Linked DNA regions of Canis lupus familiaris. The protein of the gene in region 2 purifies or fractionates together with the protein of the main gene of each other region. This does not show direct contact. Links are inferred from orthologs where the notes say so. Each region holds a gene or a part of one and is shown on either strand. Other genes may lie near its edges.

Region 1 (3,661 bases), on a different chromosome or scaffold from region 2:
CTTGTCTCCTGTTGCACAGCTGTCCATTTCTACTGGGTTGTCGATGAAGTATTTGTGCCTCTGAAAAATTGAGCTTGAGTCTGACAAAGTCTCCAGAACGAATTACCAGTTTACTGGAAAAACAGAGCAGAGGCACATGTTAACACCATCGAAGATGCAAGCAGTCATTTCCCCATTAGAATCAGCCTAATAGAAAATGGGAAATTCTGTTAGACAGATGACCTAGTTTTCCCAACCAACGGATGGCCAACAGAAGGAAGAGAGAGAGAGAGACAGAGAGAAAGAGGGAGGGAGGAATTTTATAGATTAAGAGATTTGAGAAACAGCACCCAAAAGAAAACTCCCAAAGTCCTGAAGCCTGATATTCATATTCCCCTTGACTTGAGCACCCCAGGCACACCGAGGATATGTGACCTTCAAATCGGTGACCCCCTGGGAGAACCAGCCCCTGATATGGCCTGTGAATCCTGCCCCCCACCATTGCTGGGATGTGATGCCCCCTTCACCCACCCCACTCTCCTGTCTGAGCCCACTCTCCTGATTCCCTCCTGGTTCCCTAGGGAGAAGGTGGGGTGGTGGGTGCTTTCCTTCTCGAAGTTCGATCTTACCCCTTCTCCCACGTCTTCCTCTCTCCAGCTTATTCCCAGCACCTGGACAACGAGATCAGTCACAGCAGTTACCTGGGGACTGACTACCCCACAGCCATGACCCCCACTTCCCCTCGGCGTTACTCCCCGGTGGCCAAGGACCTGCTGGGGGAGGAAGACATTCCCCGGGAACCGAGGCGGATCGTGATCCACCGGGGCTCTACGGGCCTGGGTTTCAACATTGTGGGTGGCGAGGACGGTGAGGGCATCTTCATCTCCTTTATCCTGGCCGGTGGCCCTGCAGACCTCAGCGGGGAGCTGCGGAAGGGCGACCAGATCCTCTCGGTGAGGGAAGGCCTGCCCCTGCCCCCTCACCACTGGGCACCCCCCCCCCGCCCCCTGGGGCAGAGCGCAGAGCTCTGGGGCCCAGCTCTGACAACCTGGCCTCTCCCTTGTCTCTAGGTGAATGGCGTGGACCTCCGCAGTGCCAGCCACGAGCAGGCTGCCATCGCCTTGAAGAACGCGGGTCAGACAGTCACCATCATTGCCCAGTATAAACCAGAAGGTACCAGGCCTGAAGCGCCCCAGCCTGCGGCTAAGCTGGTCTTCGGGGTGCCAGCCCCTTGGCTTGTGGCTTCTGCCAGGCCCAGTAAGGGTGGCAGGAAGGCCAGGGCCGCAGCTCAGGAACCTTCTGGTCCCTTCTAGAGTACAGCCGATTCGAGGCCAAGATCCATGACCTCCGGGAGCAGCTCATGAACAGTAGCCTCGGCTCAGGAACCGCCTCCCTGCGGAGCAATCCCAAAAGGGGTTTCTACATCAGGTTGGGGTGCTTCCGGGCCAGGCTTGACTTTGTTCTCTGCCCCCTGCCGCTGCCCCCCAGATCTTCTCCTCACCCCTGCCTACCTCCCACTACCAGCTGGGCCTGATGCTCTGCTGCTGGCCATGGGCTCGGCCGCATAGGTTAGGGACCTTAGATACTCTGTATCAGCCGGAAGGGGGCCTCTGGGCTGAGTTCCCCTGCTGCCGTCTGGCCCTTGGTCACCCCTACGTTTCCCCCTGAGACCTCCACAATCTGGTGACATGCAGGTCACTGGCCGGCAGGGCAAGGGCCTCTAGGCTGGGTGGACTGTGGCCTGCGTGAGCACCTCCCTGGGGGTGGCCCAGGGGAGCGGGGTGCCTGGTGTCGTGGGCGCCATGGCTTCTGCCTCCCCAGCCTCCCCTGCCGGGGCTCTGCTGCTGTCCTCAGAACTGTCGCCTCACCTCTTCCCCAAGGCCCAGACCCGCACTGCTGGCCATCTGCTTTCTGGGCACGTTCCCCCGGGATGTCCCACAGGCATCTTAGCTCTATGTGTCCTGAGTGGGGGCTCACTGCTTTCTCCCATGTTCTGGAGCTCTGTCTTGCTGCTCCAGCTTTCTCCCTCACTAACTGGTGCCGTTAACTGGCGCCCATCCGCCCAGACTCCTGCCTCCAGGGGGCCTGGCTTGGCCCTGCCCTGCCTGCTGAGCTCCGGTGCGCCCCCCCACCCCCCCCCCCCCACGCCGCCGCCCTGTCCTCGGTTGGTCTGTTCTGGCTTCCGGGTGTCTCCAGGCCGTCCCAGAGCGCCTCCCCTTTCACCTTGTTGCTGTGCTCCGCGTCTTGGCTGCCTCAGTGGTCCTTCCTTCCCCTGGCCTGACCCCAGGGGTCGTGGTAGGCTGATAGGAATTCGATACTGGTGGGGCTGATCAGGGATAGCACAGTGGTCCTTTTCTTTCTTAGGACCTTGTGCCGATTCCGGGTTACCTCTGGTTGTCCTGTGCATGCGTGCTGCACACTGCTTCCATGGGAGGGTGGTGTTCCAGATTGTTCTCTAGGAATTGCACTGAGTCCGTAGTGGCTCTGGTCCCTGACACAGTGTGGACTGAGTGGCAGATTGTATTGAGTGTGCCTCAATAGTAGAGCTTTCGGTCCTCCCAGGTTTTGAGTTCCTTGGAGTCCGCGGCCCCTGTGGGCAGGCTGTCAGCCGCTGTGCTTGGCTGTAGCCCCCTGGTCTGGAACCCCAGGCGGGTCTAGGGGTGCGGGGCGCAGGGGTGGCCTCGACCCACCTCTGATGGATGGCTGCCTGCCCCCCAGGGCCCTGTTTGATTACGACAAGACCAAGGACTGCGGCTTCCTGAGCCAGGCCCTGAGCTTCCGCTTTGGGGACGTGCTGCACGTCATCGATGCCAGCGATGAAGAGTGGTGGCAGGCGCGGCGGGTCCACTCTGACAGTGAGACGGATGACATCGGCTTCATCCCCAGCAAACGGCGGTGAGGCTCCCAGGCCCACAGCCTTCCTGCCACAGGCACTCAAGGCCCAGAGGTCCCCGGGTGGGCAGCCCCAGGACCTCCTGGGAGGGAGGGTGCCCGGCATCTCCCTACCCGCCTATCCCTCCATGTTCCCCACAGGGTTGAACGACGGGAGTGGTCAAGGTTAAAGGCCAAGGTAGGTGCCGGGAGTGAGCTTGGTGGGGAGGGGAGGGGCGGGGCGGGTGGGACTCCACCAACCACGTGGTCTGCTCTTTCTCCGTAGGATTGGGGCTCCAGCTCTGGATCACAGGGTAGGTAGGGTCCACTCGGTACCCCGGGGTGAGGGAGCCCTGAGTCTCTCTTGATAGCGTCAGGAAGGCGGCAGGGGGTCCTGAGTCCCATCTCCGAGCCCCTCGCAGACGCCCTGCCTCCCACTAGGTCGAGAAGACTCCGTTCTGAGCTATGAGACAGTGACTCAGATGGAAGGTGAGTCCTGGCCCCTGCTGCGCCCCGGCCCTGTCCCTGCTGCACCCCTGCCGCACTCTGCCCAGCCGTCCACCTGAGCTGGCTTTCTGTCCCCAGTTCACTATGCTCGCCCCATCATCATCCTTGGGCCCACCAAGGACCGAGCCAACGATGACCTTCTCTCCGAGTTCCCCGACAAGTTCGGATCCTGTGTTCCCCGTGAGTGTGGGTGGGGCCCCTGGGGGGAGGCAGGGAGGTGGCAGTGGGGCCCATGGGGGGGGGTCTCAGGCAGTGGGCCCGCAGGCGTTGGGGTGTAGGAGGACACAAGGGTCTTCAGAGGAGG
Region 2 (4,394 bases):
CAAGAAATGCACAGCCCACAGTAGGCAGTCAATAACATGACCATCCTTTCTCCCTTCAACCGCGCGCGGGGAGCCCCATAGCAGATGACCCATTCCGTGCCCGTCTCCCTCATTAACTCTGCGGTGTCCTCACAGGCAGGCAGCCAGGACTGTGTTCCTTCACATGAATCTTTGATGCGCATGAACTTAGGCAATCTGAATCCTCGGTCAGTGGCAGGTAAGTGCCTGGTCACTGTCACAACTTTCCGTGGAAATTGGGAGGGTGCAGGAGAAGCAAATGACCCGTGGTCTCTTCACCTAGCCAGAGGTCTGCCTGCTGGCTGCCCTGGAAATGTGGGGTGCAGGGCAAGGAGGGAGGGGCAAAGGGGGCGGGGAATGGAGACTGAGGGGTCTGTAGACCTAGAGCCTCTGCTCCTGTGGGGTCAGTCCTGATGCTGGGTCACTGGGCACAAGTTCAAGGGAAAGGTAGGAGCTCAGGGACAGAGACTTCTGGAAGATGGAAGGGGGAAGCCTGGTGGCTGTGACATCATAAGCCTGAGAGGAAACATTTGGTAATGGTCCCCTCCTCCTGGGGCTGTAGCCTGGGATCCTCCTGCAAGGAGGGTCTGGTGGAGGCTGGGAGTGACTGGGAGGAGGTGGGAAGAGGCAGAAAAGGCAGCTCCAGCCAGAGAGAGGTTCAGGGACCCCAGGAAAAAGAGTCCCTTCACCTCCCCCCCCACCCCGCTCTGCCCCAAGCCTGATGTGACTCTGGACAGCTCACTTGTCTCCGTGCCTCAGTGTCCTCATCTGTATGACAGCCTATTGTGTCATAGGATAATAGCCCCACAGTTGAGATGATGGGAGCTTAGGGGCGGAATTCCCTATTGTCCAGCCCATATTTGAGAAGGGCAGGGGTGGGGAGGTGGAGGCAAGGAGGGATGTGAGACAGGTGTGCAGGGGCTCACAGGGGCAGCGGGTAGAGGCTTGGCTGTCAGAACCTGGGCGACCCTGGGCAAGTTGCTTATCCTCTCTGGACCTCAGGAGCCTCATCTGTAATGGGACAGTCTGGACTGGGTCCCCAAAAGGCAAGTAGGCTTTGTGGTCATCCAACACCAAAGCGCCCCCTGGGAAGAGTGAAGGGAGCAGACGCCCCTGGGGGTGATACCATTAGCCCAGCACTATTCTAGGCTTGCACAGGCATTGTCTCATTTAATCCTTACCAGAACTCTATGATGCAGGCGCTTGTTACCCATGGGGAAACTGAGGCATGGGCCATGTTGGTACATGGCCAGGGACAACTCTGTGGAAGGGCAAGACTTGCTCTGAAGTTTGATAGGTAGTGATGGTAAAACGTTCATCCAACTGAACATTTTGCCAAAGCTTCTTGGCCCATTTTCCATTTTCAGAGATGATCCTCCCAGTGTCTTCATGAGGGAGCCTCTAGGACTATCCCTCATTCACAGGTGAGGAAACCGACCTGAGACACAGAGAGAGGAAGTGCCTTGCCCATGGTCACTCAGGGAGTAAGCAAATGTCTCAGCCACATTTGGAATCCATTCCTAGTTTCTGGGGAGAGGTCGTTTGAGGCCAGCAGAGCACTCGTGAACTGGCTCACTCTAGGAGACCAGTCAGGCCTCCCTGGTCCCATAGAGGCCTTGAGAGCAGGCACAGAAGGCCTGGAGGACTGCAGGTGGGAGGGCCTGAGCCAAGCTGGGAGAGGAGTGGGGGAGGTGGGCCACCAGGGGCCACTTCCAGATGCCAGAGTCACAGAGTCCAGGGGTTTGGGACTTAGAGAGTTCCTGAAAGTCTGGCCAGCCCATTCTACAGATGGGGCAAACAGAGGGAGCCCAGCTGCTTAGATTAGGAATCAGACCAGGACACAGCTGGCCAGCCTCAGAACTCTGAAGTCCCAGCAGCCCTGAGGGGTGAGGATGGATGGTGGGGAAAGGGGTAATGGGAGCCCACAGGGCCAAGACCCATCCCAGCGGCTATGCCCTGGGAATGGAGGATTGCAGGGGTCTCTCCCGCCCTCCACTCCCCCCCTCGCCCACCCCCCAGCACTCAGTAGTCACCAGGGTGGAATATTTTAGCACCTATAGAAAAACCGCCACAGACGGCCGTGGCAGCTGTTGCTAAGGAGACGCTCCCAAAATAGCCCCCCTCCGCCAACCTTTCCCGCTGCTGCTCCTGCTGTGGGGAGGGGAGGAGGCCAGAAGGGGAGGGGGTGGCATGTGAGCCCTGGACCCAGGTTCACCCATCCGCCCTTGCTCCTGCTGCCCACATGCCCCAAGATGGGGCAAGCCAATGACCAGAGCAGCCACAGGTCTGCAGAGGGGGCAAGAGCTAGCCTGGGCACAGTCCTCAGCTGGAGGAAGGTCACCCAGATGAGGGGAGATGGGGGGGAAGAGAGCCCCCCCCACCCGAAACCCTCAGCACACTCCTACACATGCACGATTACAGACCTCACAGTTTTACACATCCACTTGTGCACACCACAAGTACAGACCCACAAATGCCCTCCTTGATATGCATATTCACCACCACAGACACAAATAGATGCACGGGTAAATACATATGCCTCAAATACACAACACACACCTGCAAGCACATACCACGCAGCCATAAATACACACATTTACACACACATACTCAAATATGAATCGCAAGCACACACAAATACCAATGTATGCATGCACGCCTGGCACATGTACCCCCACACACGCACCGCAATGTAAATACGGTCTCACAGCACACGAACACACAACTGTAACAACACATGCCCAGCATGTGGCATTCAAAGAGCATTAAGTGGTGTTACCATCGGGTTCTGTGCAGGAGCCACGTCCTGGGCTCTCCAGACATCCTCACTTAGTGGGGGCACTTCTGCGATCCAGCTACAGGGTAGCAGACTAGGAGGCGGTGTCCAGGAGGGTGGTGGAGGCTGCCGTCTCTGTGAATCCCTCCGGTAGGTGGTCTGGGGACCAAAGGATCCCTGGTGCCTGGGAGAGCTACGCTGGGTCCATTGCTTGGGAAAGGGGATGTTCCGGGAAGGAAATCTCACCCTAGAGACTGCAAACCCATGGGCATGGGGGGAGTTGGGAGCCCCATGTTCACTGGGCACCTGGTTGTCACCAAGCCTGCAGCTGAGGCCAGAATGATGATGAGGACAAGAAGACAATAGAGTGGCAGCAGTGATGGTCCTTAACAGGTGCACAACACTTTACAGTTTATAAGCCACTTTTACACCCGTTATTTCACACACTTGGTAACAGCTGCCCTGAGATATCGGTGGTGCTGTCCCATCTCTGCGGCAAAGGCAGGAGAACGGACTTGAAGACCGCACAGCGGCTTACTGGCAGAGCTGGTACCAGAGCCCAAGGAGGTGCCAGCACCCAGCTCTATGCACCCTTCACTCGGCTGGACCGCACAAGCTAGAAAGCAGGCCACCAGGGTGCAGGGCTTGCCTTTGCCCCTGATTCGCTCGCTCTGTGATATTGGGGAGCAGCCAAGCGGTCCACCTCCCCACCTGGAAAACCGAGAGTGAACCCCAGGGGTGTATTCATCCTGCAGTTGGCGGGCACCGGGCTAGGGGGTGGTGCCAGATGCCCCCCCCCCCCCCGAGAATGCCAGCGCAAGGACGAAGGGCACCCGTCGCTCCCCTCTGCCCTCGGCCAGCCACCGTCTCTCTCCAGCCACCTCTCCCCAACCGCCCCCCCCACCTCCCGCGCACCGTTGGTTCCGTGGCTCCGGTTCGGCGATCCGGGCTCCGGGTCTTCGCTGACGCCTCGTCACTCGGGAGACGCGGAGAGCGGCTTGCGGTTGCCGTGGGAACCCCGCGGCGGCCCCGGAGCGGCGCACGACTCGGAGCCCGGGGGCCGGGCCTGCCCCGCGAGCGCCGAGGGGTCTTTGGCGTCTCAGACAGACACCTGTCGCCAGCGGCGAAGGGAGGCGGCGTCGCAAGGTTTGTTATGCTTTTCTTTTTCTTTTAATTGAGGTGTGACTTACAAACTGTAATACATCTTAAGAGCACAGCTCGATGGATTTTTACATATGCAAAAAACCCGTGTAATCACCACTGGGATCAAGATACAGAACACTTCTAACGCCCCAGAAGGCTTCCTCGGGCCCCGAGGTTATTTTTAATTGTCTTTTTTGCACTTCTGGAATAAACCGGCGAGGGAGTGATCGGCTTCTGAGAACACAGAATGTGTTTTCTCCTGGCTCTGCTTTGCGGATCCTCTTTGGGCCTGGGTGTCCCATAAAGGGGAGCAGGGGACTGGCATTTGTTGAGTGGTTTACTCCTTGCAAAGCGCTTTAGGTACCTAGCTAACTTTGACTCCTATCAAGTCAGTATTTGGTTTATACCCAGGTTACCCATGGGAAAGATGAAAGTTTGCCCAAATTCCTACAGCCCA

What was found.
Region 1: the proteins of KCNJ4 (region 2) and DLG4 purify together in Homo sapiens (affinity purification with western blotting, with the first as the bait; 3 studies listed by BioGRID). This does not show direct contact. The link is inferred for Canis lupus familiaris from reciprocal best matches to the Homo sapiens genes KCNJ4 and DLG4.

The regions. Positions count from the first base shown.
Region 1 is NC_049226.1:32,375,460-32,379,120, reverse strand, and holds part of DLG4 (disks large homolog 4), read left to right. Parts: intron 1-636; coding exon 637-932; intron 933-1,049; coding exon 1,050-1,152; intron 1,153-1,292; coding exon 1,293-1,407; intron 1,408-2,697; coding exon 2,698-2,874; intron 2,875-3,012; coding exon 3,013-3,049; intron 3,050-3,136; coding exon 3,137-3,164; intron 3,165-3,291; coding exon 3,292-3,339; intron 3,340-3,435; coding exon 3,436-3,537; intron 3,538-3,661. UniProt on the Homo sapiens protein: Postsynaptic scaffolding protein that plays a critical role in synaptogenesis and synaptic plasticity by providing a platform for the postsynaptic clustering of crucial synaptic proteins.
Region 2 is NC_049231.1:27,320,564-27,324,957, reverse strand, and holds the start of KCNJ4 (inward rectifier potassium channel 4), read right to left. Parts: upstream 3,012-4,394; 5' UTR 2,798-3,011; intron 1,443-2,797; exon of another isoform or gene 1,386-1,442; intron 218-1,385; exon of another isoform or gene 35-217; intron 1-34. Other genes in the region: uncharacterized protein LOC119876745, read right to left, coding at 3,710-3,961. UniProt on the Homo sapiens protein: Inward rectifier potassium channels are characterized by a greater tendency to allow potassium to flow into the cell rather than out of it.